Linked DNA regions of Pelodiscus sinensis. The protein of the gene in region 1 purifies or fractionates together with the protein of each later gene. This does not show direct contact. Links are inferred from orthologs where the notes say so. Each region holds a gene or a part of one and is shown on either strand. Other genes may lie near its edges. The genes, in order: UPF1, CASC3, MOV10 and ILF2.

Region 1 (8,256 bases):
ATTGACTACACTATTGCATCCCTACTTGTCACCAGCCTCCACTCTCTCCAGGCTCATATATATCCCCCTTACCCATGCTGTATTCACAGACACTTCTTTCATGAAAATCCAAGGAAGGCTACAACTATCCGGAGCTTCATGACTGAAATGGGGGTCAGGTCTAAAGAAATTTCAGGACCCGGATAATTGTGTGTCTGCTATTTCTGATGCATAGGTCAAGCCTGCTTTATTTCTCTCCTCTCTAGAATGGGGAAGTTGTAAACTATATAGAGAGGTACTGTAAGTATTTGGCAGTTCCCTTTCCCAATAACTCTATCGTTGTTATGCTTATAAGAATCACAAGGGATCTTTTTCAGGGGAAAAGGCAATACGCCGAGTTTATTGAGAATACAATAGAAAAGCAGTTAGCATACGCTTCATAAAGACAAGCCCACGCATATATACACACACACTGCCACACACACCCCGGTCCTGCAGATGGTGCATAGTTATCAGTCTGTTGTGGCTCAAGTCAGTCTTAGTGGCCAGGTAAAGCTGATTAAGTGAGGAGTCAGGTTTCTTCTGAGACTCCTCTCAGGCTTGGCTTGCTGGACTGAACCCGGAAATCCTAATGTGCAAAGGTCCCCACTTTATACATGTCAGTTCCAACTGGAGTCTGTGGGTTTTGCAGTGTCCTGCTGCAATTGTCCATACTTAAGAGGTGTCAATCTGTGTTTTCCAGAATTATACTTTGATGGTGATTGTCAAACTTCCCATCTTTGTCTCTCACTCGTGGGGATCTCTGCCTATCTCCACGATTCTCTCAATGCTGCTAATTCAATTCAGCCTCAGTCAGAATGGTGGTTTCCTGGGTATCTTCAAGATTTCCACTTCTTCTTGATCACCTGGGCATCTGTGATGACTGTCATGCTGACACACTTCCTCCATTCACACCAAACAATTGTGCGGAGTTTCAGACAAGATTAATAGTAACTAAAGGGACAGCAAAAAGAAAGGAATCTTCCACAACTTTTGTCATGCAGACAAGGAGTACAACTTAATTTGTAATGCTAACAGGACACAAGGCCTTACAGTAAACATCATCTAATCATGAGAAACTGGGTGAAATAGAAGCATACAGAACTTATAAGCAAGTCATTATACATCAAATCATTATGCATCATACTCATAGTTTTATAACCAGGGCTCGCTGAACCGCGGTGAGCCCCACTCGCCAGCTGCGCTGTCCGGCGATCTGCGCATGCACAGATCGTTCTATGCATGCGCAGATCGCCCAAACCCGGCTCTTCCCGGTTGCAATCTACTGCTTATAACCAATACTACAATATACATTTTTGCTATACTGTCATAGCGCACAAAACAGAAAGTACTTTAAAAGTCCTAGGTCATAGAAACCTGACGGTGTCATTTTAACACCTTTCTCCCTGGAAGATTAGAAATAGTGAGGTTATTAAAAAATCAAAAAGTCTGGTAGCACTTTAAAGACTAACAAAACATGTAGATGGTATCATGAGCTTTCGTGGGCACAGCCCACTTCTTCAGATGACTAGAGTGTTGGATGTCCAGAACCAAAAATAAATAAATAGAGAAGAAGGGAGCGGGACAGGGGGAGAGGAAAAAAATGGGAGGGGAGGAACAAAAAGAGGCAGTGAGTATAAAAATATCAAAGGGAAATCCGAGCTAGTATGTAACAGGCAAAACTGATAGTATATAAACACGTACCTAAAGACTGGATAGTTAAAAGAAGCAGATAAAAACCATTAGCTAACAATTAGAGAGGAAGAGTACTAACACCAGGTGAACTTACCTTTGAGACTTGAAGGACTCTAGTCCTGATTTTATATTTACACACAAGGGACTTCTCTTAATGACTGTGGGCTAAAAACACATCACTACTACCCCTCATTATTAAAAAAGACAGTGGCACAGCCGTGTGAAGGGATACTAGATAGCTCAAAGTCAAAACAAGCAAGTCCTTTTCCAGCTAAAGAATGGACTCAATAGAATCCTACATCTATAGACAGGCCAGCCCTTTGGAATCATAATGGCTTGATAAAACCGATCAAAGATTGTTTTAGCCTCAAACAGCTGAATTTGTTGCATCAGGAAATATATATATTTGTGATTTACAGACCTGGAAAACCATTCAACCAAATAGGAGAGAAGATCAAGAACTGCCCCAGCACAATACAAATGTCATTGGGCTAAGTCAAATGATTCTGGATGTCGACAGTTTAAACGGAAACCTACAGTGCATCCTGCTTCCTCACAGAAGCGTAGAAACTGAGGGTACGTCTAGACTACAGGCTTTTGTCGACAGAGGCTTTAACAGACACTGTCGACAAAGCCTCTGTCAACAAAGAGCATTTAGTCTACAGACAGTTCTGTCGACAAAGCAAGCCACTTTTTCGACAGAGTCCAAACGCTCTCTTTTGAAAAAGCACAGTGGGGATGCAACAGCACCTTTTGTCGACAGAACTCTGTCGACAAAAGGCGTTATTCCTCACAGAATGAGGTTTACCGCCGTCGACACAACTGCCGCGTTTTGTCAACTTACTGTCAACAGAACAAGTATAGTTTTGTTGACAAAAGTTCACTTTTGTCAACAAAACCCTGTAGTCTAGACACACCCTAAAGGTGAAAACAAACAAGCCATGTACGGGAAATAATAGCCCTTCCAACCACTCTAATTGCTTTTCTATGTTGGAGTAATGCATGATATTTCAAAGAGAAGGATGTTTCAAAGAGAGAGAAGGAGCAATTGGCCAAATTCCATCAACGCAAATATTTTATCAAAATCTGATGGACACTGGCAAACCTGGTCCATCTGTTTTCTTCTCCTACACTGGCAATGGGCAACTGAGGCTAGTGAGTGGGCCACATGAGTGGTCCTCCTTCATCTCAGTGGGCTCCAAGATTATCGTCACAAAGATGATCTCCCAAGATAGGGTAGTTTTGCTAACTGTGCTTGCATACCTAGAACTTGTACGGTGTGCCATTTGAACTGTAGCAGCAGTTAGGATGCAGAGGGAGCACACGGCTCTCCCAATGTTGTGGATAATAAGCACGCACCTCACTTCACATGCCCTTGCTTTATGTGCATTTCACTTTGGTAATACAGGTCGAACCTCTCAAATCTGGCAGGACTATGGATGCTACTGGACCAAAGAGCCCCCGAGGCCGGAGAGCGAGCCAGCCAGGAGTCCGCCAGCAGCTGGGGAGCCCCAGGTGAGCTGGCAGCAGATGGGCCAGTGGCGGCTGGCAAGCCCTGGCCCTGACAAGCCCCAGCCAGACTGACAGCAGTGGGGGTGGCAGCAGGGCAGAGAGCCCCATAGCCCAGAGGAGAGCCCAGGAGCAGGGTCGGCGCCAAGCAGGGGAGAGTTGACCTCCCTGGTCCAGAAAACTACCTGGTTCAGGATCGCTCAGGTCCCCAGGATGCTGGACCAGGGAGGTCCAACCTGTACCAGTAGAAAAAAAAAACCCTATGCGGATGGAAACCAGTGGGATCTGGCAACCCAGTGTATGGGCAAAGGTAAACAAAATGTCTCACAGGCCACCCCTAGAACCCTGATCGGCCAGAAGTTGCTCATCACTGTCTTACACTGAAACTACAAACATAGAGGTTAGATATAGAAGGAAACATATGTTCACTTTCCATAGCCATGAATACAAGTTTCAGGGTTGTGGGGAGGGAAGAGAAAAGGTTTAATGTGCTTGACATGCCTGTTTTGCCACAACTAACCTTAGAAAAATTCTGAATTTTGTGCTGGTAAAAATTGATGGGAACCCTAGAAATCAAAATCTTCTGTTTGTTTATCTCACCTACACCATAATTCTAATGTGCCTCAGTCTTACGTGGAAGGCCCTTTTTTAATGATGAGTAAAGATTTCAGTCTCCACAGTACATTTGATTATTAGCCTCCCCGTCCAGGCACAACTGTTAGCAATCAATCAATATAAATTAATAATAATAATAATAATACTTAACACTTCTCTATCACCTTCTGTCTGTCTCATGGTGTTTTAAAACATTAGTTAATACTCACACCTTTCTGTGATATGCATATTTCTATTCCTGGCAAAGGGAAACTGAGGCAGTGAGCTGGAAAATGAACCAAGTGTCCTACTTCCCACACTCTTGTTTAGCATCTACATCACACACGCTCTGATCTGGGAATGGAACCAGAGTCCTGGCCCCAAGTACCCCACTTTCACTACATCACAAATTGCACATGTGGCTTTTGAGATGTAAACAAGCATTCCCTAAAGATTGGCTTGAGACCCACCAAACTCATTTCAAATGGAGGCAACCATTGTGAATCCAGTGTTGGCCCGGAGTGACTGCGTAGCGACACAGAGACATGACATGCAGTCACTCTGGGCCCATGGTGGATTCAAAACAGTGACAGGAAGGTGAAAAGTCCCTTCCATGAACCAGAGGCAGCAGAGATTTCTGCTTGCTTTCTTCGCTGATAACACAGAACTTCCTCTCTCTTGGGGGAGAGAAGACAGCTATAGACCTTCCTCACCAACAGTGTGTGTGTGTGGGGGGGGGGGGGCGAGCTTGAGACCGGCACCCACCTACATGGAGGAAATTAAAGACCTCTCTCTCCCCACCAAGAGGGGAAGTTAGAGACTTTCACCTGTTTGTGTGGGAGACCTCCCACTCCCACCTATGGGGGAACTGGAGACCTCCCCCTCACTACTCATGGGGAGCAGTTAAGCGAGCGATCTCTCCCTCCCCCCCACCCCATGGGGTAGAGGCAGACTTCCCCTCCCCACATATGGGGGGCAGTGGTAGTCCTCCCCCTACCTCCCTGGGTGGCAGTGAAAGACCCCCCCCACACACACACACGTGTGCAATGGCAGATCTCCCCTCCCCTCCCCACCCCCACACCTGGGGGCCGTTGGAGACCTCCCTCCACTCCCCATGGGGGCAGTGCCCCCCCCATGTGGGGGCAGAGACCGCCCCTACCACTCCCTGTGGGGGGAGGGGGGGAGAGGACAACTGGCGGCCCCTCCCCTCACGGGAGCCTATGGTTACCTCCCACCTAGGACCCCGCCCCCGGGCCTTCCCTCCGCGCCCCCCCCCCCCCCCCCACCTGCCGCCGGGCATGCGTGCGTGCGTGCCTACGTCACGGCCCCACGCGTCCTGAGCGCGCGCCGCGTCCCCCCCCTCCTCCCTCCCCGTGCGTTCCGCGTCACCCCTGCTCCCTGGCCTGCCTGGCGCGCGGCGGTTCCCGGCCGGCCTGCTCCGCTCCCAGCGCCTCGGGCTTCGGCACCGCGGCGGACCCTCGCCCCCGCTTGATTCGGCTGCGTCCGGCCGCCCGGCCCGAAGAGGAGGGGCGGGGGGGGGAAGAGGGGCGGTTGCTTCGTTGGCGCCCGACGCGCCGCGCGGCCTGGTGCGCGCGGCCCATCCCGGCGCTCGCGTAGCGCGGTTGCCCGGCCGCCGTGAGGCGAGGCCCCGCCGGCCCCTCGCCGCCGCCATGAGCGTGGAGGCCTACGGCCCCAGCTCGCAGACGCTCACCTTCCTGGACACCGAGGAGGCCGAGCTGCTCGGCGCCGACACCCAGGGCTCCGAGTTCGAGTTCACCGACTTCACCCTCCCCAGCCAGACCCAGACCCCGCCCGGGCACGGCGGGCAGGGGCCGCCGGGGCAGGGGCCGCCCGGACAGATCGAGGCACAGGTGGGTCCGCGCTGGGGGGGGGGGGGATTCCCCTGAGGGAAGCCGCAGCAGCGCCCCGCGTGGGCAGGTGGCGTTCAGAGACCCCCCCCACACACACACTCAGCACGGGGGGGGGGGTTACTCTCTGCCTTCGCCTTAGCCCGGCACGTGCTGCCAGTGTAGGGGGGTGGGGGGCAGGGCTGGACCCGGTGCCCCTTCCTCTCTGAGAACACATGGCCGGGGGGGGGGGGGGCTGTAGAAGTGTCAGATTTCAGGGTTGCATCATGAGGAATGTGACTTCCTTCCGTGTTGTGGGTAGGAGCTGGCTTGAACCCCCCCCCCCCCCCCGTCTGCCTTTTGCTGCCTGTGGGGAACAGCACAATCCGCTGGCATGCCCCCCCCCCCCTTTCCAATTGGGCAACTTAGTTGTGATCAAATTCTGAAACACGTTGCATGGGGCTAATTCGTGTGGTGGTTTTTCCCTCTTCCTTGTTATCCATCTTTTCCCGTTGCATTGTGTGTGGTGGCTGGCACGTGTGTCCTATTCCTGTGAACCCCATTTGGGATTGAAGGTTGGAGACGATTAAAATGTAATAGACAATATTTTAAGGGAAATGTGGTAGCATTTGATATACCACTGAGCAATAGCCTTGTATAGTCCCTTCATATTAAAAAAGAAGGGAAACCAGGATTTTCTTGGAATAGTGAGTGTAAGAAAAGAGGAAGTTAAAAAAGAAGGGAAACCAGGATTCACTTGGAATAGTGAGTGTAAGAAAAGAGGAAGTTAAAAAAGAAGGGAAACCAGGATTTTCTTGGAATAGCGAGTGTAAGAAAAGAGGAAGTTAAGATGCATATACACGATGAAATATCATAAATGAAGGTAACCTGCATTTAAGCTTTATGACTCTGTGTGGCAGAAAATTTACATTGCTGTTTTTAAAGACATCTAAGCTTCATAGTTGCTATAATATTTAAAAAGATCACAGAATGTGTCAACTAGTCAACTGCATGGACAAGCAAATGCTGATATAATCCCAGTACCAACAATAGTTTGTAAACTATCTACTGATTAAAATGCAAATTAAAAGGTGAATTGAAGTGCTACTAAGTTTAAGATCCCAGTTCAAGAATATCGTGTGTGCTTTCATTTCTCCATTTACTTATGAAGACTTGTATTCAGAGTTCTGTCCTCTCCAAAAGTTGATAGCTGCATAAAGACAGAATCAGGGATGCAATTACCTGAGCTGTTCGTAATGTTGTCTATTGTAAGAGAGAGACAGACTCCTGAGCTCAAGTCTGGCAGTAGAAAGGATTCTTGGTTCATCTTCATTGGTCTCTTTACTTGGTGCACTCTGATATCAACCTCAGTAAAAACTAGGGATGTGAAAGGTTAACCAATAAGCATCCCACTTGATGCTTAGCAGTTCTGGTTAACTAGTGGGGAGTGGAGCAGCTCACTGCCCCTCCCTCCCCCCAGCAGGGGCTGCTTAAGTGGGCTTGGGCCCATCGCAGGCAGAGGCTGTTCTGGCCACCCACCGCAGCCCCTGCCCATGATGAGCTCTGCTTGCAGTGGGGAGGCTGCTCCAGCGGGATTGGGCTAAAACGTGCCCCCCATCCTCTCTTTAATCAGTTACGTTCCTAGTGAAAACTCATGTTGCATATGCCTAGACAGAGGACTTATTTAAAATAGAAGCTTAACAAATAAGAGGGGAAACGTTGCCATCTGATCCACATGCTGGAGAGAGCCATACTAACAACATGTATAGACCTCCTGAAAGTCTTTGGCAATCTTAGCACCCTAAGACTCCTGTCTGTAGATTAATATCAAATACAATTTCCTTTAAATATGTGGTCTGAAAGGAAAACAAATATAGAAGTTAAAAACTATGTACAGTGTATTTAGAGCTTTTATAATAATAAAATCTATTGCTATCCTGTGGGAAAAAAATTGGTTTTATATCTCTATCAAACTGCTGAAACAATTTCTTTCAGAAACTTTTGCAAGTTGTCATATTCTTCTTGATACTCCTGTTGCCTCCTTGTTTCACAACCTGATTTTCTTTAGATGTTTAGATAATGTTCCTTTTGAACCGCAGTATAGCAAGAACTATAGATTTCCTTAGTTTTCCTAACCTTGTTACATAGCTGTCTAGTCTTGTACATTTTAGCAGACTCATCTTGGGTTTTGGGGAACATTTTGCTGCCTTAAAAAGCTACATAAATTTGTACTCTGCAAGAGAAGTAACTAAAAATAAAACTTTTTACAAGGCCTGACAGATGATCACCTTTAAGTATTATTTCCATACCATTAAATCCAGTTTAATCTTTTATTTTTAAATGTATGCACATTGTTTATTTGCTATGGATTAATGTTCAGATGTCTCAAATTCCTAGATGTTATGAGGAGAGAGTTAGATATGGTTCTTTTGCCTGCTCTTCTAACAAAGTGTAAGCAATTGATTCTTCTCTATATCAGAGCTTTTTTCCGCTAATGTACATTAAACCAGGAACTTAAGTGTTTGTCAGAATCAGTTGGTGTCCCATCACTGACAAAAGTATTAGGGGTCAGCAGTGTGAAAGTAATGACCAT
Region 2 (7,418 bases), on another chromosome or scaffold:
GTGCTTTCATAGCTTCCCTTCTCCCTCCCAGGACAGCCCAAAGATACTTATTACTCACCGTCTCCTTCAATGCCATCTTCACTTTCCTATTGAAAGAGAGAGACACACAAGCATGTTACTGGATGTGTAAAATTTCCAGGAAAATTTCAGTGACTTGCCTATCAGATGTGACCTCACTAGACATCTAGACAAGCTTTTGACAAGAGCCGGGTTGGGGAGATGCCTGTGACCCTGGCACACAGGAGAGTCATCCTGGAAGCTTACATTTAGAACAAACATGGATCTAAGAACTTGGACAAGAGTTTTCCTGAAAATGCATCCAGTTGCATGCACAAGGCCGGCCAGACTGAGGGAAATTCAAGTCCTCCAGGCAAGAAAAGGCAGTATGGAGAGGAGGGGTTTAAAGTGTGGTTAGTCAGTACTGATCTTTAGGGGAAAGAGGCCTACACAGAAATGATGAGCTCCCTTAATAAAATAAAACTAGAATCAGACTGCTGGCTCAGAAAGTTACTGGGGGATTGCTGAAAGCTGGGAATGGGTGACGGGATGATTACCTGTTCTGTTCATTCCCTCTGGGACACCTGGGCTTTGGCCACAGCCTGAAGACAGACTCCTTGGCTAGACAGACCTTTGGTCTAATCCATTCTTATGGATTATTTAAATTAGTGGCTTTCCCCAGCCTCCATGTGCTGAGGAGCACCAAACTCTCACAGCTGCTACAGATGTCAGAAACATAAATGTTAACGTCTGTCTTTATGGGATAGAGAGTAAGACTGAACTGGAGGAGGAGATCAGATCACAGAGGTAAATTCTGGAAAAGAACCAGAGTATCAGACTAAAGGAATTTAATAAAATAGGCTCATGCTCAAAAATTAAAAAACTGTGTATATAATAATGTAAAGGCTAAAAGCAAAAACAGGTGAACTACAAATATACCCGAAAGCAGAATAGGAACATGGTGTAAGAGGTCCGAGGGAATAAGCTACACGGCTATAAACTACACAGGAAGAACAATTAAACTGGACAGATGGGCAGAGCATTATCCTAAAAGACTTCAGAAAAGTCTACGAGGGGTGGGGAACCTCAGGCCTGGGGGCCAGATGTGGCCCTTGGCTTGCCTGGATCTGGACACTGAGACTCAGGGTTCCCCCTAACATTGGGGAGCCTGTGCTGGTGCTCCAATCCAAGCCTCTCTGTGGGGACAGAGCACACACAATCTACTAGGCTGGGGGCCCAGTGGGGGAGAGAGGATTTCCACTGCTTACTTGTGTGTGGCTGATTTTTCCATGGGTCAGCAGCCCCTGACTCAAAAAAGGTTCCCCACCCCTGCTCTAGGGTAATAGTACTGGCCTGCCCATGAAGAGTCAATGACAAACACAAAGAAGAAAGTCTGTAAACATGTCAGAAACAAGAAACCAGAGAGGGAAATGCTAGGTCCACCAAAGGCATAGGCAAGGAGTATTTTCAGCTGAGATTTACACTGTCACTGAAACTTATAAACACTGTGGCATTCATTCAGCTGACAATCTATGAAAACACAAGATTCAATTTTAACACCCTTTCACTCAACATCATTTTACCTGACAGAACCCATTTCAACCATCCTGATTGTTTTACATTTCTCTGAAATCTGAGAAATGTATTGGCTGAGCCATTGTCTTGACGACCAAATTAAGCTTTGCTAACTAGCTCAAAAGTTTCACGAGAAAGGGCTGCAGAGTGACCAGATGGAGATATTCATCTAAAAGTCCAGCCCCAAACCACCTGCACTAACTCATTTTGAACACCAGAGTCTGCATAATCTGTATTGCCACAGTGGAAAGACAGATGAGGAAAGATGTGGTCCTGGAATGAAAAAGATTATTGATGCAGAATTTTTCAAGTCAATGTAACGGTAGTTCCAGACCTACTGTAATGTATAAAGATGTGGCAAGGAGGGTCACTTGGCACATACTCTTTTGCCCTTTGTTACATTGCCTGTCTGTATCAAGGATTGAAGTAAATTCTGTAGCATGTGCACGAGGAAAGGACAGGAGAGGAGTGTGTTGATAAGATCTTTGGACACGGATTAATAAAGCTAAATCCCACTGCGCTGCCGAGATCCTTTTGATAAGGGGCTGAGCGGGGAGGTGGAATCCAGGGCTCCTAATCAATTCCTCTCTAAATACGTCCGCCTTACTGGTCTGGAGGAGGGCAATTTAGCAAGATTTTTAAGATGCGGGGCCGGTAAGCTTGCGGCCTGCCCACGCGCTTCGCACTGCAAAAGGAAAGTGACTAAAAACAACAAGCGAGAGAGGAGGCTCAGTCACACAAAGCGGTTTCCCCCACGGCCCTGCCGCCACCGCGGCGACGAGCAGACAACGGAATTCGAAGACATCGGCCCCAATGAGTTTCTCCCCAGGGTCAAGCCGCGGAGGGGGGGGGATATTACGTTTGGGTGGCAAACGCCCCCCCCCAGCCACATGCAACACTCTGGCCGCTCCCACCTCCCCTGACGGCCCCGCCCCGGGGGCTCAGCCAGCCCGACCTGTGCACAAGCGAGCCCCCCCCAACCACGCGGGACAGGCCCCCCCCGACGCGCGCGGGCCGACCCCTGCCAATGGGGAACCCCCCCGCGGGGAGGGGGGGCAGGCCCCTCCCATCCCTCAGACCCCCCCCCATTGTCGCCCCGCCCCCACTCACACACTCGGACTCCTGCGGGCTCTTGGCGGCCCCGGGCGCGCTCTCGGCCGCGCGGCCCCGGCCCCCCGCGGGCAGGTCCCCGGCAGCGCCCCGGGCCGGCCGGGGGGGCGAGGCGGGCGAGCCGGAGCGGGCCCCGCCGGCCGCGGAGTCGGCGCTGTCGGAGGCGGCCGAGTCGGACTCGTCCTCGCTGTCCTGGGAGGCCCGCTGCCGCCGCCTGTCCGCCATCTTGGGGGGGGCTGTGCGGGGGCGGGCGCGCAGGGCCCGACGGGACGGCGCCGGGACTACAGCTCCCAGGGGCGCACCGCGGCGCCTCCCGCTTCCGGCCCCGCCCGAGAGGGGAGGGGTCACAAGTCCCACTTCCGGGCAGCCCGCTCCGCGGCTCCCGCGAGGCTTTGTCAGAGAGCCGGAGTGCCTGCCCCGCCCTCAAGGGAGCCGCTCAGCGCGGGCGGCCCCACCCCTGCCTGGCGCGGCTGTGACGTCGTGCCGTCGCCGCACGATGACGTCATGTTACCGTCCAGGTGACGTCATTTCCTTGCTTGAAGCGGATTGCAGGCCATTTCCACGATTGAGCCGAGCACTGGGCCTGGGGCCGGGCTGGCTCAGCACACGGGGGCACAGCTGGGACCAGGGGAGAGCCAGGCCTGCGCCTTTCTGCAGGGCTAGGGGGGTCAGATACTTTCACAAAAAATCCAGAACCTGTCGGGGGGAGGAAGGTGTGTGTGGGGGGGAAATTGGTTGAAAAAAAAAAAAGAAGGGGGGGGAAGGACCCAGGCACCCAAATTTGTTGAGCCAAAAACAGTATTTTACTCCTGCAGTATTTTCTGTTGTTTTTTTTTAAACCCAAGAGAAGACGCAATTACCGGACTGTCTGGACAAAAACAGGACAACTGGCAAACCTATGCAGGACTCTACATGATTTGTTTCTTGCATGCACCTAAGTTTTTCCACAAGGGGGTAGCTCAATTTCACACTCCTTACCTTGTCCTGTATGCAGAGGGGTAGTCGTATTCAACCGAAAAAAACCACCACCAAATAGTCCTGTAGCACCCTCGAGACTACAGGTGATATCATGAGCTTGTGTATGCACAACCCACTTCTTGTGCCCACAAAAGCTCATACCACCATCTACGTTTTTGTTAGTCTCGAATTATGGTGCTGAAGGACTATTTGCTGTGGTTTAAGCTTGCCCTGTGTGTCCTTTTCCAGAAAGGAAAACCTGATAACTTGGGCCCTATTCCTCATAGGTAGTTAGGTGTCTAAATTCCCATCGACTCCAGTAGAAATTCAAAGGTATTTAGATGCCTGTGATCAGAGGGGCTACGTCTACACTGGCATGATTTTCCGGAAATGCTTTTAACGGAAAAGGTTTTCCGTTAAAAGTATTTCCAGAAAAGCACGTCTAGATTGGCAGGACGCTTTTCTGGAAAAGCACTTTTGCCGGAAAAGTGTCCGTGGCCAATCTAGACGCGCTTTTCCGCAAAAAAGCCCCGATCATCATTTTCGCAATTGGGGCTTTTTTGCGGAAAACACTACTGTGCTGTCTACACTGGCCCTTTTCCAGAACAGTTTTCTGGAAAAAGACTTTTGCCCGAACAGGAGCAGCATAGTTTTTCCGGAAAAGCACTGATGATTTTACATTAGATCGTCAGTGCTCTTCTAGAAATTCAAGTGGCCAGTGTAGACAGCTGGCAAGTTTTTCCGGAAAAGTGGCTGATTTTCCGGAATAACTTGCCCGTGTAGACACAGCCAGGGAGTTTGGCTACTACCCTAAGACCCGAAGCCTCAAGGATAAATGGGAGTCAATGTCATATCCACATCATACACAAGCACAGAGAGGTGAAGTGACTGGCACAACACTTCACCTCCCTCTGAAGACAAATCATGTTGCTTGCCATCACTGGAACAAGACAGAGGTGCATTGACCACACATCCATCCTTGCACGGTTATCTACCCAACACACTTGTTCTCTTTATGTAAAGTAAGGTGATTCTCTATACATTCCACAATAGGTTCATCTATTTCTTCCTGCATTTAGTATTTCAGCTCCCGAGGTACGCCCTTCTCTCAACTGTTATCTATGAGCAGCAGTGACTTTTCCTTTTCATCCACCCACTCGCTTAAAGATTTGTAAAGAAAGCAACAAAAAAAATGAACTAGGAGCAAGCACCTTCGTGTGGCTCCAGCATTATTGCTCCCTACAGAATTTATTAAGCAAGCATTTGGCAACAGGCCTTCAGCACTTGCCGCACACTGACCCAGACCCAGGAACGATCTGCATTGACGTTTTTAAAGAGCCAAAACAGACTCTCTGAGAAGCCTTTCAGAGCAAATTGGAGTCAGAAAAACAGTCTTGGGAAATATTAAGTGTTTCTTTAAAATACATTTGAATAGTGGCTCCCACATATTTAGCTATGGAATTGAGTGCTGGCTGGTTAGGGTTTCAGCTATTCAGACTGAAGAACCTTAAAATGTAGTTTTGTTTTGGTTTTTTTGAGAGAGACAGACACAAGGCATTAAGGGTAGACTGTTCTTCCAGTTCAGAGTTCTAAGCAAGCTATGGCAGCTGGTTAAAAATTCTAACGCTGGTAACACCATTCCTATGGACAGCACCAAGCATGCAAGAGAGAAGCAAGCTATATTTTTATTGGCTGAGAGAACGTTTCTAAACAAGACATATGCAAAGGGTTTGAGACAAACATGACAACAACATGTACGTGGTTTTTTTTCTATTTTATTGTAAAAAAAAAAATCTCGATTTGTTTAAATTTTTTAAACATACAAGCAGAATTGTTTAATACTCCCCAGTAACACTGTTAATTCTAACAAACTGAAGCAGAAATTCAAAAAATTAACAGCCACAAGTTTATTTACAACTGAACGTTTTTTATAAGATATTTACAAGACGACCAATTTTACATTAGAAATGGTATCAAAAGTATGCATTACAGACAACTAGGTGTCAAATGGCCATAAAACAAGGCTGAAGAATACAGACAAGCTTTTAATTGTATTTAAGATTTTTTTTTTTTTACACTAGCTTAAACTTGGTTAAAGAAAGCAAGGTTTTAAACCAAAGAACGGTTCTAATAGGGAATTGCAGGGCCTTCCATTGCAGATTGAGTTTCACAGTGTTGCACCCCATATTGGGAGAAATAAGACTTTTTCCCATGCCAACACTCACTGAAAATTTAACTTGGTACTTTCCCTCCAACCTACTCCCTGCCCACACACCCCATCTGTAGCTAACGACTGCTGGATAGATATCTATGAAAGATCATTTTTATAAAACATGGCTGCCTGTCTGGAGTTTAAAAACCAGGTGTGCCCTGGGAAATCAGGACCACTGGGACTTTAGTCTGAGGTCAAGCAGCTACCAGCAGATACCTCTCAGAGCTAGCTGTCACTGGGACGTAAGTGTTCTGACCCCTGAAAAGCCACGAATGCAGGGTATAACCAGAATGCAAAACCCACCTGATGCAGACCTGAAAGAGACAACATCAAGGAAAGAAAACAAGGCTCAAGCTTAATATTTGCCCATTTAACATGTTGGCTCCTAATTGCACAGAAATCCATTAAGAACACACGCTATCATGCGAAAGCAGGACACTCAAGAACAGCCTTATTTAAAAAAAAAAAAAAAAAAAAAGCGCAGTGCATAGCCCTAATGTTTCAGGCTATGTGGTACCAGGGTCCATGTCTCAAAAGATTTGCCCCTTTCATGTAGATTTCAGACCGTCTTTCAAACACCATTCCTACAGGAACCCTAGCACGGCCCACTGCCGTGTTGTAAGAATCAACCTCTCTCCCAAATTGCATAAGAATACATCCCAGTTCACAGGGAAAAGGAGGGAAAAAAACGCCACATTTTGTATTTGTGCATTACTATTTATAGCCATTTGAACCAAAGCAGGGAGAGAAGATTGCTGGCCTTAGACAACACTAACAACTCCAAAGGAACAATCAGAATGGAACATTTCTTCCCTGGCCCACGAACATTTTCAGAAATGACGTTAGCTCCTCCCCCAGCCGCACACATGTCAGAGGTAGGACAAGAACGGTGGAGCAATCTGACAAGCAAGCCTTGTGCACGAGAGTAACAGGCATGCTCTCTGTAGCAGCCAAACATTCCCCGGCCATCTGCCTTGACTCCATTCTGCTGTTAAGTCTGAAAGGTGATGGAGAATCCTGCCCCAGAGCATTTGGTATCACCACTAGTGTAGAACAACAATGAAGGCTCATTTCGTAAAGGAAGCAAATTACTAGAGCTAAAGCATAGGGACCACTCTAATTTTCTCTAGCCAATCCAAGCGTCTGACAAGATACGCGAGTTGCCAGCCACTGCTGTCCTTAAAACACTGAAAGGAAAACAAATCACCATTGTGCGTCTCGAATTCTGTTTTCACCATCAAAAACGTTTCCCACCCCCTATAGCCAGTTGGTCTAGAACCCGGCAGAGCAGCTGGCAAATAGGCTCATCTGGAGAAGTGTTTACGCACTGGCCATGGCGCAAGGAGAGTCTCGCTACAGAAAAGTGCAGAGAGTTGATTTCTGACCCAGGTTAACTAACCAGGTGTGTCTCATGGCAACAATGGGATGCAGCGTTCACTCCAGTCATGCTTGGCGAGACACAGCACATTCAGGACCCTCTGCCAGCCTCTCTCAGGGAAGTGGGTATTCATAAAGTTAGGTTCACTCATTTATTTAAAACCAAATCACCTATCTAGCACAACACAGG
Region 3 (7,514 bases), on another chromosome or scaffold:
AGTCAATAACCCAGATTTAATGGGATGGAAGAGTCTACATACAAGAGGTTTTCACTAGTTTAATTAAGGGCTTGTCTACCTGAAAGTTAAGGAGAAGTCTACACTAGCACTTCACCACACTGCAACTTTCCACTTCAGGGGTGTGAAAAGACACCCCCCACCACCACCACCAAGTGCAGCAAGTTACAGTACTGTAAAGTGCCAGCGTTAATGGACTCCCAGTGCTGTAAGGAGGGTGGTTTACACAGAGCCAGGGCTCCTGCCATGGTTACACTTGCATTACTTTTGGACATGTCGATAAAGCCTGGGGTAGGGTGTGAATTTAAAGTGCAGTAGTGGTTCCTGAAGAATTCCACTTGGACAGTCTTTGAAAGCACACCGGGCTTTGGCTGAGCAGGAGCAAAGAGCACTTCTGTGCCAGACTAAGCTGTTCACACAGGGAGTTAATCATTGTCCTAAGACAAACAATGGCCTAAATCAATTAAAAATCTATTGCTAGTGAAACTGGTACCATTTGTAAAAGAGACCAAGCCTTAGCTTGTGTATCAGCTGAGCGGCCAACAACAGGCCGGTGGGCTGGACCACGGGAAAGGTGTTTGCATGGACTGTAGGCAGCATCTCAATTGTCCCAGGGGTAGCCAAGCATTTGCAGTCTGTTGGGTGGAAGGTGCTGAACTACAATGAAGCCATTAACGCTCCGCATTCCTTCCTTGCATTGCCCCAGGGTCCCAGAAACACCGCCTAGTCCCTTTCTAAGCAAGCAGCTGAGTGCCAGGGATGCCCTTTCCTATGGAAATGGACAGGACGCAGCCTGGGGCCGTGGTCTCCAGCCTTTTTATGCGTGAGATCACTTTTCGAATGGAAATGCAATCCAAGATCCACCTGAAACCTAAACAGCCTGGCCTGGCCTCCTTTGTGCCCCTTCTCTGAGGTCCTGCCCCTGCTCACTCCATCCCCCATCCTCCCTCACTTCAGCAGGCTGGGGTGCAGGCTCGGGCAGTGTGAGAGAGGCTCTGAGCTGGACTTGGCAGGTAGTTGGGGTGCAGGAGGGGTTCATGACTGGGGTGGGGTTTTTCGAGATGGGGGCTCCAGCAGGGCACTGCTTACCTCAGGTTGCTCCTGGGTGGTGCAGTGAGACTAAGGCAGGCACCCCCTTGCCCTGGCCCTGCACCACTCCCTAAAGCAGCCAGAAAACTCCCTCCCAAGCCCTGTTGTGCCCCCTCTGCTCTGTGGAGAAAGGATACAAAGTGGGGGAGGAGGCACCTTGACATCAGCACCCTCCTTCCCCTGCCCTGCCCAGAAAGCTCCTGAGGGGCAGCTCCAAGGGAAAAGAGATGTGCAGCAGTGGGGTGAGGGGCAATTGAAGTCCAGCCCTTGATAACAGTGTCTTGGCCAAACCAGTCAGGATCCCCTGTCAGAGGCACCGGGATCTACCCGTAGATCCCCATTGTCTGGTTGGTGACCACTGGCCTAGGGTGTGTTTATAGCAGGCTCATTTCTTAAGAACATTTCTCCAAAGGGCTCCAGCGCCAGGAGTCACCTGGACACGGCCACCATCCCTGCCCAGGGGAGCGGCACCAGTAGGAACTCTCAAGGGGGGAGACAAAGGGCTAGTGCAAGTCAAGTGAGAACCCAACTGAAACCCGATCCCACGCTTGCCAGAGCGAGTCAATTACACAAAGCCAGCGTAGGGAGCGGCATGGTCGTCCACTCATAAAGCTTCAGTAGCAGAGCCTGTCTCAGCCATCCCTTTTGCTGGCCCTTGAACCCAGCCCGCGGGTGGCTTCGTGGAGGTTCCAGTGCTCACTGACGCACTTTTCCTCCCTCCTGAGACGCCTGAAAACGAATAAATGGCTTCCCATCCATGCATGGAGGCCTCCAATTGTTTGCCTGACTAGCACCGTCCATGTGGGGAATTTTACAATCTTCTCATAGGACTTGGCCTTATCCACACCCCTGACTCCCTCTGGGACAGGGAAACACCATGTCCCTGATGTACATGTTGGGAAACTGAGGCATGGAAAGGCTTAAGATCACACTGGGAACAAGCGGCAGAGTTGGGCATGAGAGCCTTAACTTCCAGAAAACAGCCTCCCTGTTGTATGCAGTGGCCTCTATTATTAATTTAATCTATCTTCCCCAACCCAGTTTCCTTTCCCAGAATACTCCATGGGGAAAAAAATGGTAGCTAACGAGGTGAGAACTTTAGAAAGGAGTGGTCCTGTGGCATTTTAGAGACTAACCAAAAGAAACAAACTCATGAGCTTTCGTGGGCAAAACTGGTAATACCTGTTCACCTTGGGCCCATTCTTTGCACAGCCCTCTTCCCTAGGCACAACACCAGCCTCCTACCTGCAAGGAAAGGGATCGGCCGGTATCTCCTCTTCTATGCCAGAGCTGCATGCCCTTCTGAATCCAGGCAACTTTCTTTTCTCGGAGGGAGGGAGGAAGCCAGCAGCTGAGTTTACTTACTTGACTTGCATGCCCAGTGGCTGAGTCACTAGCCTGTTGATTAGGTGCTGCCCTGGACAGAGGGTTTTAATTTTTAAAAGGGACAGATCATTCTGTGCTGGGAGAGGAGGTCAAAAGCTGCTGCGCTGCAAGATAAGCACAAGGCCAAGTGGCAGAGACTCACTCTGCCAAGAGCCCCTGAACTGCCAACACAAGCCAGACTCTGCCCTGGCAAGCCAGCCTGCACCCAGAGTTAGTTCTGTGAAATCACCCTGCTATCCTGCTACAAACCCTCCAGGCAAAAGGGCCTGGATGGTACCAGGGTGCGGGATAGGCTTTGGGCTGTAGTCCTACAAAGGCCCATGCATGCCTGCCCCTGAAGTCAATGGAATGACTCACTAGCAGTAAGGTCACACCTGAATAAATAGGGGCAGCTCCTAATGGCTTCCCATTTCAGATCTGTGCCTGGTGCGAGGATCAGAGCCTCTGACTCCAACGCCTGCAAAATGACCCCTTGGGGAGGCAGGGTGGCCTAATGGCTAGAGGGTGGGACTGGGAGGCTGTGGCAGTCAGTGGCCCAGGCTCTGATCCTGGCTCTACCACTGAGCTGCTGGGACACCTCGGGCTAGTTACTGCCCTGCCTTGTGCCTCAGTTTCCCCATTTGTAACGTAGGGCTCATGATACTGCCCTCCTCTTGGAAGTGTTGTGAGAGCCAGGAACCAGCACGGGATGCACTGAGGGGCACAGGCTCGAGCAGTGGGACAGAAACATTTTGGGACGCAGTCATGGCCCACAAGACACTGGGGACTTGCATGCCAGGGAAGACACTGGGGAGCACTCCCATGCTAGCATGCCAGACAGGGCGCTAGTGCCACGAAGGCAGAGCAGCCTGTCCCTAGCCTCCTTTGGAGACTGTCTCCAGACAGCCACAGCTCCGCACTGGACCAGAGAGAGTAACCGGCTCGGAAGCACTGGCCAGTCTGACTCGCAGCCCCCTCCCCTGCACCCTGTGGCCGCCAAAGAGAGGAGATTTCTCCAGCAGATGCCCTGGGGGCATCCTCCCAACTCAGCATTTTGCAGAGGCTCTGCTGGGAGAGGGGAGACACGGCAGGGACCGGATGGTCGTCCAGGGAGCAAGGGCGGAGCAAGGAGACCTCAGCTCGCCCTGTACCGCACACAATGGGCCCACGTCACCTCAGGGCGGGATCCCACAACGCGTATCCGTGGGCACGAAGCCGCCAGCACACAGGAGACCCCAGCAGTGCAGCGCACGGCCCCACAGCCCCTCAGCCACACTGGGGACATGAGCCCTGCCTCCGCACTGGCTTCCCCAGGACACCCAGTCTAGCCCGGGGCCTCGTCCTACTCAAGGCTCGCAGCTGGGCCCCGCACGGGTTGAGCGGTCGCCCTCTGGCACCGCAGAACCAGGGAGAAGCGCATCTGTCCGGGCTGAGGGGCTGCCAGAGACGGGGGCATTAAGTCCTCCAGGAACCACCCTAACGTTCACCTCCTGCTCCCTGGGCAGGCCCCTTGCTTTGCCCTGCCACCTCCAAACTAAACGCTCATCTGGACAATGCGGGTAGGAAACCCACCAAGCCCTTCCCACCTGCCTGGCACACGGCCCCTGCCCCAGGGCGACTGAGAGCCGGTCCCTGGCTGAGGCTGTGTCTACACGCAAAGTGTGGACGGGGGGCTCCCCAGGGGGCAGGGAACGGGGGGCTGGCGCAGCTGAGCTCTCCAAAGGGGTGCGGGTCTGCGCTCCCCCAGAATCCCCGGCGGAGGCCGCCCGGGCCCGGGGCTGGGACATCCCCGCGTCCCTGTGCCTGTCCCGGGAGGCGCAGAGCCCGCCTACCCCACCGCGGGAGCCGCTCCCGCCAGGCTGGCGCCGGGCCGGGCCCGCCCAGAGGGACCTGTGTGCCGGGGAGGCTCCCGGCCCCTTTCACTTTCGTTTCTGCCCGCGGAGCCCGGCTCCCGCCCTCCCTGGCCGCCCGCGGCGCCGCGCAGAGATGCCCAAGCGCAGCTTCGCGGAGTGCAGGGCGAGCGGGGAGCGCTTCGTGCGCTTCCTGGCGGACACGGCGCGGGGCGCGGAGCGCAGCCGGGAGGCGCTGCGGGACATCTACAACCGGGAGTTCCGCGCCCGGTAAGCGCGGCCGAGCCCCGGGGGGAGCGGCGACCCCGAGCGCTGCGTGGCCCCAGGAGGGGGCGGGCCGGGCAGGGGAGACGTGTCACTTCGGGGCTGCTGGGAACCCCCGGACGCCCCGGCCGGGAGGGGACAGTTGCTCCAGACCAGGACACTCACCTGGATGCTGACAGCGGCCTCGCTGGGGCTCCCCGGGCTAAGAGCCGGGGCTGGGCAGCCCCTGGGTGCGGGTGCAGCTGGGGCGCCCGTGGGGAGAGGGAGGGGGAGGGCCCGGTCTGCCCCAGGCTCAGAAGGCAGCCAGACACAGACCCTCCATGATTTCCCGTCCCTGCCCCCGGGGCGCTGGGAAGGAGGCTTCCCTGAGCCATGGGCCCTCCTTCCTGCAGGAAATCACTCCAAGCTGCCCAGCGCCCCTCTTCTCCAGGGGTCAGAACAGATCTGCACCCCGCGCCCATCTGGCTCGGGCCTGGGGTTTGGGGTGACTCTGGGAGGGGAGGCTGCTCCATTGCAGTTCCGAGCCGGATTTGACCCATCACAGCCATAGAACTGGCCCTTGGAACGGGCTGGGGGCGACGTTCCCGCTAATCTTTTCCATCCACGTGCAGAATACATTTTGTTCTGTGCACAAGGGCTGTGCGGGTGTGCACCACCCGCAGAGACACAGCCCTGGCTGCGGGCTGCCAATCAGCCGGGCGGCGTTTGAATCTCTCCTGAGCAGCCGCACAAGCGCCCCGCTTCCAGGGAGCGGTGGAGACACAATTGCCTCCCAGCCCCTCGTGGCTTTGGGTGGGCGTGGGCTTGGAACTGACAAAGGGACGCCTTGGGGGCCAGGCACAGGCCTCTTGCAGTATGCGGGGGTGGGGAGGGCATAGGCATAGCCCCAGCTCTCATGGTTCTTGTGCACCCGTGGCCCCACACTGTCCGGGGCAGAGCCTAGGGCCCACCCAGGCCAGGCAAAGGCAGGCCCCAGGGTGCTCAGGCAGGGCTTGGCCTTCCTGGGCAAACGCTCCCCTCCCCAATCCTGCCAGCACCAGGCAAGTGTTACGCCTGCTGCTAGGGAGCTCTGCCCGGGCAGTCCCTGGCACCTCTGGGCAGCAGGGCCCCTCTCTGGCCCTTGTCTGCCTGCCAACAGCCTCATGGCCCCCTGCCTGGCCTGTGCACTAGGGCACATGGGGCCCTGCTCTGCACTCGCCGCATGGGATCTGGCCCACAGCCCTGCCCCACGACCTGCCACCTTCCTGGCTCACAGGAGTGTGCCCCACCCCCGTGCAAAGGCAGCTGGTGCACATGGGTTAGTCCCGCCCTTGTGTAAAGGCAGCTGGTGCACATGGGTTAGCCCCGCCCCCGTGCAAAGGCAGCTGGTGCACATGGGTGGTCCCACCCCTGTGCAAAGGCAGCTGGTGCACATGGGTTAGCACTGCCCCCGTGCAAAGGCAGCTGGTGCACATGGGTTAGTCCTGCCCCCGTGCAAAGGCAGCTGGTGCACATGGGTTAGTCCTGCCCCCGTGCAAAGGCAGCTGGTGCACATGGGTTAGCCCCGCCCCCGTGCAGGGGTCCACCTTTGCCCGCACAGCGAATCCGTGTCACTGGAGAGACCCCCGAGTCCCTGGCTTTGCTCTTCCCTCCAGCCAGGCTGGGCTCTCTGTGCCTCCCGCTCGCCCAGGCCAGAGTGCGCGGAAGGAGAGCGGCTAGTGCAGCCCTGCCCCGGCCCTGGGCTTGCTTCCTCGCGTCAGAGCCAGAGCCGGGAGCAGGGGTGTGAAATCGGGACGTGTTACGTGGCTCACCGTGATCCCGCGGGCGGGGGCTGCTCTGGCTGGGCTGGAGTGCCCCCCCACCCATGGTGCGCCTAGGCTGTGGGGGGCTGGGGCTGCTGGGACCAGGGTCCCCCCTGCACCTTCCTGGGGCCGTTGGGCCGCAGTCCCACCTGTCCTCGCATGGGGCCAGGGCTGCTGTGGCCCTGCCTGCCCTGTCTGGGTTCCTGCCCCGGGCCGGTTACCTATCCAGCAAGCGCACTGCTCACCAGGTAACCTTGTGGCTCCTGAGCTGGGGGCGGAGGGGGGGCTGGATTTGCAACTACTCCCACCCCAGTGCAGGGGCCCAGCGGGGTTGCAGTTGCTGGGGGCAGTTGCCCCCCAGGGAAGACGCCAGCCCAAAGAATGGCAGAGCTGAGGGGCCCCGTGGGAGCAGCCCTGGGCGCCTGGTGGTTGCCCCATGGCAGGGCACGGTTGGGTTGGAGACAGGAGACCCTGCAGTTGAGGACCACCCCCCCGGAGAGGAGCACTGCTGGGTGGCAGCCAGGGTCCCGCTGGCCCATCGCTCTCCTCATGAGCAGCAGGGCGAATGCCCCGGCCCCCAATGCTGGCATCTGCCAGCCCCATCGCTCCGGGCAACGCAGCCCCGGCCCTGACGCGCCCGCTCTGTCGTCGCTGCAGGGATGGCACGAGGGAGCCCAACTTCTCCTCCGTTCTCTTCGCCCTGTGCAAGAGCGGCCTGGCCGAGGTGCGGGGCGACTTCGTGCGCTTCGGGAAGGTAGGTACTGCCCCCGGGAACCCACTCCTGGGGCGCGGTCCCATGGGAGGGGGAGCCCAGGCAGGGGGCACGTGGCCCCACGTCGCGCTGCCGAGGGGGAGCTTCTCAGCCCCCCCTCCCAGCTCAGCCCTCCATCCTGCCCACGCGTGGGCCGAGCCGGCTGCCATGGAAGCTGGCACGAGCTCTCCAGCAGGCCGGGGGGGGGCTCCCGGGTCCTGGCCGCAGGGCGGTTTGGTTCTTAGCCCAACAGAGCGTTTGGCAGCCACGCCGGGAACGGCCCCCGGGTCTCCCCCCGGCCTCTGGGCTCCAGGTCCCGGCTGGCTGGAAGCAGCTCGAGCCGTGAGGCTGCTGCCCCATTCCTGGCAGGCTGGTGCCCACAGCACATTGCCTGGC
Region 4 (7,909 bases), on another chromosome or scaffold:
GGGACTGCAGCTCTCCTTCACCCCCCCGGGGGCAGTAGCGGGGACTGCAGCTCTCCTTCGCCCCCTGGGGGCAGTAGCGGGGACTGCAGCTCTCCTTCGCCCCCCCTGGGGGCAGTAGCGGGGACTGCAGCTCTCCTTCGCCCCCCCGGGGGGCAGTAGCGGGGACTGCAGCTCTCCTTCACCCCCCCTGGGGGCAGTAGCGGGGACTGCAGCTCTCCTTCACCCCCCCGGGGGGCAGTAGCGGGGACTGCAGCTCTCCTTCGCCCCCCCTGGGGGCAGTAGCGGGGACTGCAGCTCTCCTTCGCCCCCTGGGGGCAGTAGCGGGGACTGCAGCTCTCCTTCGCCCCCCCCCCCCCCGGGGACAGTAGCGGGGACTACAGCTCTCCTTCGCCCCCTAGGGACAGTAGCGGGGACTGCAGCTCTCCTTCGCCCCCCCCCCCCCGGGGACAGTAGCGGGGACTACAGCTCTCCTTCGCCCCCTGGGGGCAGTAGCGGGGACTGCAGCTCTCCTTCGCCCTCTGGGGGCAGTAGCGGGGACTGCAACTCTCCTCCCAGCTATTCCAGCATCCTGAACTGAACCCCCAGCTCCCCCGGTCAGGCGACTGGGCTGGCACGTACAGCCCTCGTCTGGCCCTGGCCCTGGGGGCAGAGGAAAGGAGACCGGGAAAGGGGGCTGCCCTGAGGCCCCGGCACCCAGCAGGGCCCAGCCTTTAGAAACCCGCCTGCTTTGGGGAGCTGGCTGCTGTTTTGGAGCCTTGGGGGCTGGCAGCACCGAGCCCAGTGCAGTCTGTGGGGGGGTCCCCCAAAGGGAGAAGGGAAGCCATGCACAGGGTCAGCCTGTAGGAACCCCAAAGACCCCAATGGGTGAGTGATGCCCCCCTAGAGAGACACAGGGGGCCATGCCCCCCCAGTGGGGCATGCAGAGCACAGGACTGCTTCATGGCCTGCTGCTCCCTCACCTCCGTGATTGAAGAGGGGGCTTGGGCCCCCTGGTGGGGGGCGGGAATTAGCCAGGGGCCGGCTGGGAAGGAGGTGGCAGAGCGAGCGCCCAGGCCAGGCAGAGGGAGCCTGGTTCGAGACCCAGGCGGCTCTGGTTCCGCCGCAGCCCCGTGGGCGAGGCCTTTGCCTTGAGGTTGCCCAGAGCTGGTCTCTTTACTCCACGCCTGCAGTTGGCCCCCAGAGAGGGGGCTGCCTGTTGGGGGGCAGCAAGGAAAGTTGCCCCCTGCTGGACTGTGACCTGCTGGGCAACAGGGGAACTCAGAGCACCCATGGGCCATGCAAAGCGTTTGTAATGGAGGGAGCCAAGACCCCGGGCTCCACCCCTGCCTGCTCGAGGGCAGCGGGCTGTTGTGGGGAAAGCAGGGTGGAGGCCAGGACTCCTGGGTTCTCTTCCCAGCTCTGGGGAGTGGGGTGTAGTGGTTAGAGTAGGAGACAAGACTCTTGAGTTGTTTTCCAAGTGCCTCCCACTGACCTCAGGGGAACCCCTCCCCTTGCCTCAGTTTCCCCACAAGTGAAATATTGTAACAACTCCACCCCTTGCCCCAGGAGAGGCGCTGGGATGCCAAATTGCCTGACTCTGGGTGAGGCTGCCTTGGTCTCTCCTTCCTTGGCACTCCATGGGACCCCGGCTAAGTCCGCCCAGCCCCCTGGCTCCCCCAGCCCAGGCACATCTGCAGAGATGATGCTCAGGCTGGCTGTGGGGGGACAGCCACTCTTGGCGGGGGAGGGGGAAGCTGGTTATTTTGGCCCCTATGTTCTGTGGCCCTATGGATCGGCTGGGGATGCCATTGGCGGGTGGGAAATTCAATTTTCCCCCCGCCAAACTGCCTGGGCCTAGGGGAGGGGGAGATGAGCTTGGTACTCCCAGGCTTGGTACAGATTTTTTTGTAGGGGGGGGGGGGTTTCTCCAGCAGCCAGTGCTGGGGTGGGGCTCCACAAACCCCCACCCCAGCCCTGGATCACAAAAGGTTTCTCTGTCCCTTCAGCCAGCTCCTGAGGCTTGTGCTTCTTGTCTGGAGGGCAGAGGGCAGTAAACCCCCTCCGGATTTGGGGGCTGATCCTCACAGCTGGGTCCTCCAGTCCATGCTGGGGGGGTCACACCCAGGAGAAGGGGAGAGTTTATAGCAGCAGGACAGGACTCTGAGGCTCCGGGGCTCTGTTCCCCCAGGTGCCGGCCATCCCTCGGCACAGCTGGGACCCACGTCAGTGGCCATGAGCCCAGGCCTGCTGACCAAAGGCGGGTGGCCATGAGAGGGGGCAGAGAGCCCTGCCTGGAGCCCCCCGTCCACTGGTGCCTGCTCGTCATGAGCCCCGCCCCTCTGCCCACCCCCTATTTATCTCGCCCTTGTGTTGGGGCCACACTGCTCCTCTCTGGCTCTGGCAGTTACGGCGCTCCTGCTGCGCCCTCGACCCCTCCTATCCTCCGAGATGCCCAGAGAAGAGGCCCTAAGGTGGCCTTTTCAGGGCCCTGCTCCTGACATTTCCGTGCTCGGAGCTGGTGTCCAGAGGGGGCCGAGCAGATGTTCGGTGGTGTCCTGGCGCCACCCGGAGGTCTGGAGCACCAGACACGTGCAGACAATGGGCGGGAGGAGCACAGCCGGCTGCAAACTTTCAGACCAACTTTTCCCGTGTGCTGGAAAAGGCGGATTCATCAGCCCCAACCCCGCAGACAGGACCAAACCTCGCTGGGCCTTGTGGAGGCACCGGCATCTTGGTTTAAAATGCGACCGACCCGGCACCGGCAACGGAAGGGGGGGATAAGGGGTTGTTCAAAGTTTTCACTTTTTTGCCCCGAATTGGGAGGGGAGCATTTGTCAGTATTTCCAAAATCCTGCCAGGCCAGGAAAGAGGCTGTGGGCTGAGACCGAGTCCTGTGCAGCACGTCTGTCTTCTCCAGGGAGACTGCAGATTCTGCGGGGCAGCGACTCGCTCTCTTCTGCAGTGAGCAGCCCCGGGTTTGCCTGGGCCCCGTTACATGGTACCAGGATCTGACCACCCCCTAATTCCCTGCTCCCGCTTCCTGCCCACAGTGTCTGTCTCCGTCCCAGGCAGATTGGTAGCCTCCTGCTTGTTTAGCTGTCAAGTCCGAATGCAGAGTATAGACAGGGCTGCGCCTGACACAGGGGGCACCTGGTCGGTGGATGGAACCTGGCCTGTAGGTCATAGCCCTTGCTTGGGTCTCTGCCTGAAGCTTCCCCGGCTCCCAGGAGCTCACAAGTCATAAGTCAGGGCTTCCACAAGCCATCAGATTTCACTCAATACCTGACGCGGGACTTGTGTTACCTGCCTTCTGGGCCCCGGTCTCCCGCTTTTCTCCCCAGCCACCGGGGGCTGGAAGCTGTTTTTCTGGTTTGCGAAAGGGGAGCCGAGCTGCTCTGTGCCACCACCTGACTCCCAGAGTCGGGCTTTAAGAACAAAAGCACCCGCCAGCATGGTACAATTGCACGTGTGGGCATCCCAGGGACCGACAGCTCTGCGAGGGGTGGGCTGACCGTATTTCTCGAAGGGAAAACGAGACACCGCATGGGGCTGGCCCAAGCCACCCATCCTTTGTGGGGGCCCTTGCCCAAGGGACGCCCCAGGCACTCACTGGTCAGTCGAACCCTGCCATCCCCTCCACTGCCCTTGAAGCTGTCACTGATCCCTGGCACCCCGCTTGCCCCCCACGAGAACCCTTCATTCTCTCCCCCTCCAGCCCAGCCTCGCCTCCCCCCTGCACGGGCTGGCATTCCTCTGTGCCGCACCCCGCTGGTTTTTCCAACTTGGCCAGAGCGAATGGGACAAATGCCCAAGGGCGGCCCGTCCATATCGGCGAACTAGGTGGTCACTTAGGGCGCCAAGTTAAATGGGGCGCCAAATGGTGGTGCAATATCATTGAGGGGTTTGGAGGGGGGGTGCTGATTGCATGGTTCGCCTAGGGCGCCAGTTGCTGGCAGCTAGTCTAGGGCCGCCCCTGCAAATGCCCACTGTTACCTGCAACGCCTGGACAGCAGGGACAGGACTTATTAAAGGGACCATCCCAGCTGACCACTCCTTAGCCCAGACGCCTTGGCAAGGCCCAGGGGTCACGTCATGGCCTGTATGGCAGCTCCAGCGGGCTCTAATCTGCAGTGACGTCACTTGCAGGAACCACAGAAGCCATCGTGCCACACCCAGAAGCCAGGCACAGTGATGTCACACCTCCGCAATGACGTCACACCCAGATGCTGTGATGTCATGCCCCAACAATATTCTACCCAGATGCTGTCCCACGGAGACACTGACAGGATGTCACACCTGAACACCAGTGCAATGAGATCACATCCACACACAACTGTGCAAGAACATTGGCACCCAACTGCCCATGTGGTGATGATGTCACACCTGACCACCAATGATGTCACCCAGGTGGTGATGTCACACCCGGACACCAGCTCACAGGGACGCCAGCAAGGTGGTGATGTGCCAAATAAAAATGCCTCCTACCCCGGGGGGGGGGGCAGGGCTTTTAAAAAAAAAAAAACAGGTTAGCAGAGGATGGTTTCGATCCATCGACCTCTGGGTTATGGGCCCAGCACGCTTCCGCTGCGCCACTCTGCTGCACGCTGCCACAGCCTCTAAGGTTGCACATGGAGCTGTGTGCTCGCCCTGCACGCATGCGCCCTGCACCGCCCTCTGCACTCCACCTAGTGGCCCTTACCCGCCGCTGCAGAGCGGGGCCACTGGCGGCACACGCAGCAAGGGCCCCTCGCTGGGCGCGCCTGCTCTCCAACGGCCCCGCCGCGCGCCCGACCTGCGATTGGCCGAGGCGCCGACACCTCATGACTGATCGGTGGGGAGACCAATGGCAAAGCCGGAATCAGGAGGGGGCCGGCCGCGCCCAGCCAATAGCCGGGCAGCTTGTTGGCGGGTGCGCAGCGCAGGCCGGCGTCTTCTCCTCTCCTCAGCGCGGGCTCCATTGTTCGACTTCAGCGGGCGCCATGAGGTGAGGGGCGGCGGGATCCGCGGGCCGGCGCTGGGGGGGCGGGAGGGAATTGCGGGGAGAGATGCCCCGCGGGGGCCCGGTCCTGGGGGGGGGGGGGGTCTGCGGGGGGAGGTGCCCCGGGGGGGTTGGAGGGCCCGGTCCCGTGGGGGGAGGTGCGCTGGGGGGGGCCCGGTCCCGTGGGGGGAGGTGCGCTGGGGGGGGCCCGGTCCCGTGGGGGGAGGTGCCCCGGGAGGGGGCTGGGGGGGGCCGGGCCCGTGGGGGGAGGTGCCCCGGGAGGGGGGCCGGTCCCGTGGGGGGAGGTGCCCCGGGAGGGGGGCCGGTCCCGTGGGGGGAGGTGCCCCGGGAGGGGGCTGGGGGGGGGCCCGGGAGGGGGCTGGGGGGGGGCCGGTCCCGTGGAGGGAGGTGCCCCGGGAGGGGGGCCGGTCCCGTGGGGGGAGGTGCCCCGGGAGGGGGGGCCCGGGAGGGGGGCCGGTCCCGTGGGGGGAGGTGCCCCGGGAGGGGGGGCCCGGGAGGGGGGCCGGTCCCGTGGGGGGAGGTGCCCCGGGAGGGGGGGCCCGGGAGGGGGGCCGGTCCCGTGGGGGGAGGTGCCCCGGGAGGGGGGGCCCGGGAGGGGGGCCGGTCCCGTGGGGGGAGGTGCCGGGGGGAGGCTCCGCGGGCCGGGCCGCTCCCTCCTTTGACCCGCGACCTGCCTCCTCCCCCAGGGGCGATCGAGGCCGTGGCCGTGGCGGGCGCTTTGGCTCCAGGGGCGGCCCGGGCAGCGGGTAAGTGGCGCTCGCGGGGGGCGGGGGCTGGGGGGGCCGCCCGGCGCTGCAGGGAAGTGGCGATTTGTAACCTCCAGGGCCTGGTCCGCTGGCGCTCGGGAAGGGGCGGAACGTGCCCCCTTGGCAGCCGCCTGCAGACGGCCCGTTACCCCGGACGGGCGCAGCGTTCGGCTCGTCGCTCTGCCAGCGTTTCGCGTTTTTAAGCTGACGCTAGAGCCACAGAACAAGGGCCAGGAAGAAGCAGAAGGGTTGGCACCCCGGGGTGTCCCTGCCGTACCGGTACCTAGTGTGTAGGGTCCAGGGTGGCTCTGGCAGCCAGCTTGTTGCGAAGCGGGGGGGGGGAGGGAGCTTTATCTATGTACTGTGAAGCAAAGCCCCATAATCCCCTTAAGCTAAGATCCATTGTGTGGGGGAGAACCAACCACATACAGCAGAGGCAAGAGCTCTTAATGGGGCCCCTTCTAAGATGGGGAACACTTGACCGACTTCTCCTTTTCAAATAATATACTCTGGTTACTAGGAACGTTAATGTGTTTAGGTAAATGGGGGGAGCCTTGTGTAACTGCATGCTAACTGATGAACCCAGGCTCATCCGTTAACTGTACACATTCACATCCCTACTAGTTATGGTGCACAATTGCTGGTCAATTTGGGGTGGCTTCGCTCTCTGCTATGAGGAGAGTCCAAGCCAGTGTGTGTTAAACTTCTGTCTCCCAGGTAAAAGGGAATTTTGGCTTGTCCAGCAGGGTGAGAAGTCCTCCCATGAGAGGCTGGGAAAGAGTTTGCTTTTCTCTGAACACCCTCCTAATCAGGGTGTAGGATGTATTGAACCAGTGGTTCAGTCTGCTGTAGGGTGTCTGCCCTGTCATCAAAGGGCAGTTAGAGTTTAAAGTCATCATAACTCATCTTCAGCTTTTTCTTTTTTTAGGTTCAGGCCCTTTGTGCCACACATCCCCTTTGACTTCTATGTGGTGAGTAACCTGGCTTAGCTTAGCCAGTCCATAGTATTGCCTCTATAAAACTGGTGCAGGGACATTGTGTTGCAATTATGTTCCTGGTTTAACAATAAACTTGATTGTAAGGTGTTTCTTCACAGCATAGTTAGCACACTTTAGTTAATGACACTTGAACTAATCTAGCTTCTCAGCTGTAGTGAGACTGAGAGCAGCTATACTGCAAAATATTCAGTTACCCAAAGTGATTTGATTAGCTGCTGCTGAATTGTTTTGCAGCTTGACTGTATCTTCCCTTCTGCACTTAAACAGTACACAAGCTAGCTGGGAGCAGTGTTCCCTGTAAGCTGAGCACTTGGGTGGCCACCCAGGAGACATCCAAATGTTGCCCACTTGATTAACACAGCATCCACAGCCAGCAGCATGTGTTTCTCCTGGTGTTGCACATCCACACATGCCATGGTGCACAGAACAAAAATTATTCTGCATGTTAAGGAGAAAATTGGAATGTTGGCTGTGAGCTCAAAGCACCCCTTCATTTGAGCTAGACACTCCTGTTTGACAGGAATCAAGTTAGGGGAAACTTGAGTGATCTGCTGTGCAGACGTACCCACGCATTTCCCAGCTCAAACCATGCAGGCTGAGGCATCTAATAGCTTTACTCGGGAATGGGCAATAATTTTGGATGGGGAGGCCACTCCAAGAGTCTGGTAAGTGGTCAAGGGCCATGCTTTTCTATGATATTAATGGGAGAAAGGGGGTGTCTGGGGCAGAGGCTGGGTGCAGGAGTAGGGAAGGGGTTTTGGCTGGGGTGAGGATTTGGGGTGCCAGGTGCAGTCTCTGGTTGGAAGGCGCTTACTCTAGGTGGCTCCTGGCCAACAGCCCAGCAAGACCCTGGCTTAGCCCAGCAAGTAGCTGGCTGCTGGGGCCAGCATGTGTGTGGATGCATGGCGCTTACCTCTTGGGGGGGAGGTCTTTGTGCACTGCCCCAGCACAGTCCTTGCAGCTCCCGTTGGCTTTTAAGGATTGTTCCTTCTGAATTTTTTGTGATTGTGCCTCTCTCAACTGTAATTTCATAGCATTAAGTTCCCAGGCAGCTCTATGTAGAACACATGCTCTGTGGTGTTCATTGACCAGTTCTAGTGATTCTCTCTTTGAGCCCAGTGAAGCTGTGTGGGCAGGACTGAAGGTTTCCATGCTCCATTCAAAACCTACTGAAAATAAAATGCTCA

Evidence for each region.
Region 2: the proteins of UPF1 (region 1) and CASC3 purify together in Homo sapiens (co-immunoprecipitation; 5 studies listed by BioGRID and IntAct, with this or other methods). This does not show direct contact. The link is inferred for Pelodiscus sinensis from reciprocal best matches to the Homo sapiens genes UPF1 and CASC3.
Region 3: the proteins of UPF1 (region 1) and MOV10 purify together in Homo sapiens (affinity purification with mass spectrometry; 3 studies listed by BioGRID and IntAct, with this or other methods). This does not show direct contact. The link is inferred for Pelodiscus sinensis from reciprocal best matches to the Homo sapiens genes UPF1 and MOV10.
Region 4: the proteins of UPF1 (region 1) and ILF2 purify together in Homo sapiens (affinity purification with mass spectrometry; 3 studies listed by BioGRID and IntAct, counting the BioPlex papers as one, with this or other methods). This does not show direct contact. The link is inferred for Pelodiscus sinensis from reciprocal best matches to the Homo sapiens genes UPF1 and ILF2.

The regions. Positions count from the first base shown.
Region 1 is NC_134729.1:19,442,222-19,450,477, reverse strand, and holds the start of UPF1 (regulator of nonsense transcripts 1), read left to right. Parts: upstream 1-5,185; 5' UTR 5,186-5,486; coding exon 5,487-5,687; intron 5,688-5,709; exon of another isoform or gene 5,710-6,391; intron 6,392-6,450; exon of another isoform or gene 6,451-6,512; intron 6,513-8,256. UniProt on the Homo sapiens protein: RNA-dependent helicase required for nonsense-mediated decay (NMD) of aberrant mRNAs containing premature stop codons and modulates the expression level of normal mRNAs.
Region 2 is NC_134739.1:10,950,595-10,958,012, forward strand, and holds the start of CASC3 (protein CASC3), read right to left. Parts: upstream 3,028-7,418; 5' UTR 2,908-3,027; coding exon 2,683-2,907; intron 87-2,682; coding exon 59-86; intron 1-58. UniProt on the Homo sapiens protein: Required for pre-mRNA splicing as component of the spliceosome. Core component of the splicing-dependent multiprotein exon junction complex (EJC) deposited at splice junctions on mRNAs.
Region 3 is NC_134737.1:2,048,482-2,055,995, reverse strand, and holds the start of MOV10 (helicase MOV-10), read left to right. Parts: upstream 1-4,385; 5' UTR 4,386-4,458; coding exon 4,459-4,592; intron 4,593-7,024; coding exon 7,025-7,121; intron 7,122-7,514.
Region 4 is NC_134734.1:23,581,483-23,589,391, forward strand, and holds the start of ILF2 (interleukin enhancer-binding factor 2), read left to right. Parts: upstream 1-4,855; 5' UTR 4,856-4,958; coding exon 4,959-4,963; intron 4,964-5,664; coding exon 5,665-5,724; intron 5,725-6,652; coding exon 6,653-6,695; intron 6,696-7,909. UniProt on the Homo sapiens protein: Chromatin-interacting protein that forms a stable heterodimer with interleukin enhancer-binding factor 3/ILF3 and plays a role in several biological processes including transcription, innate immunity or cell growth.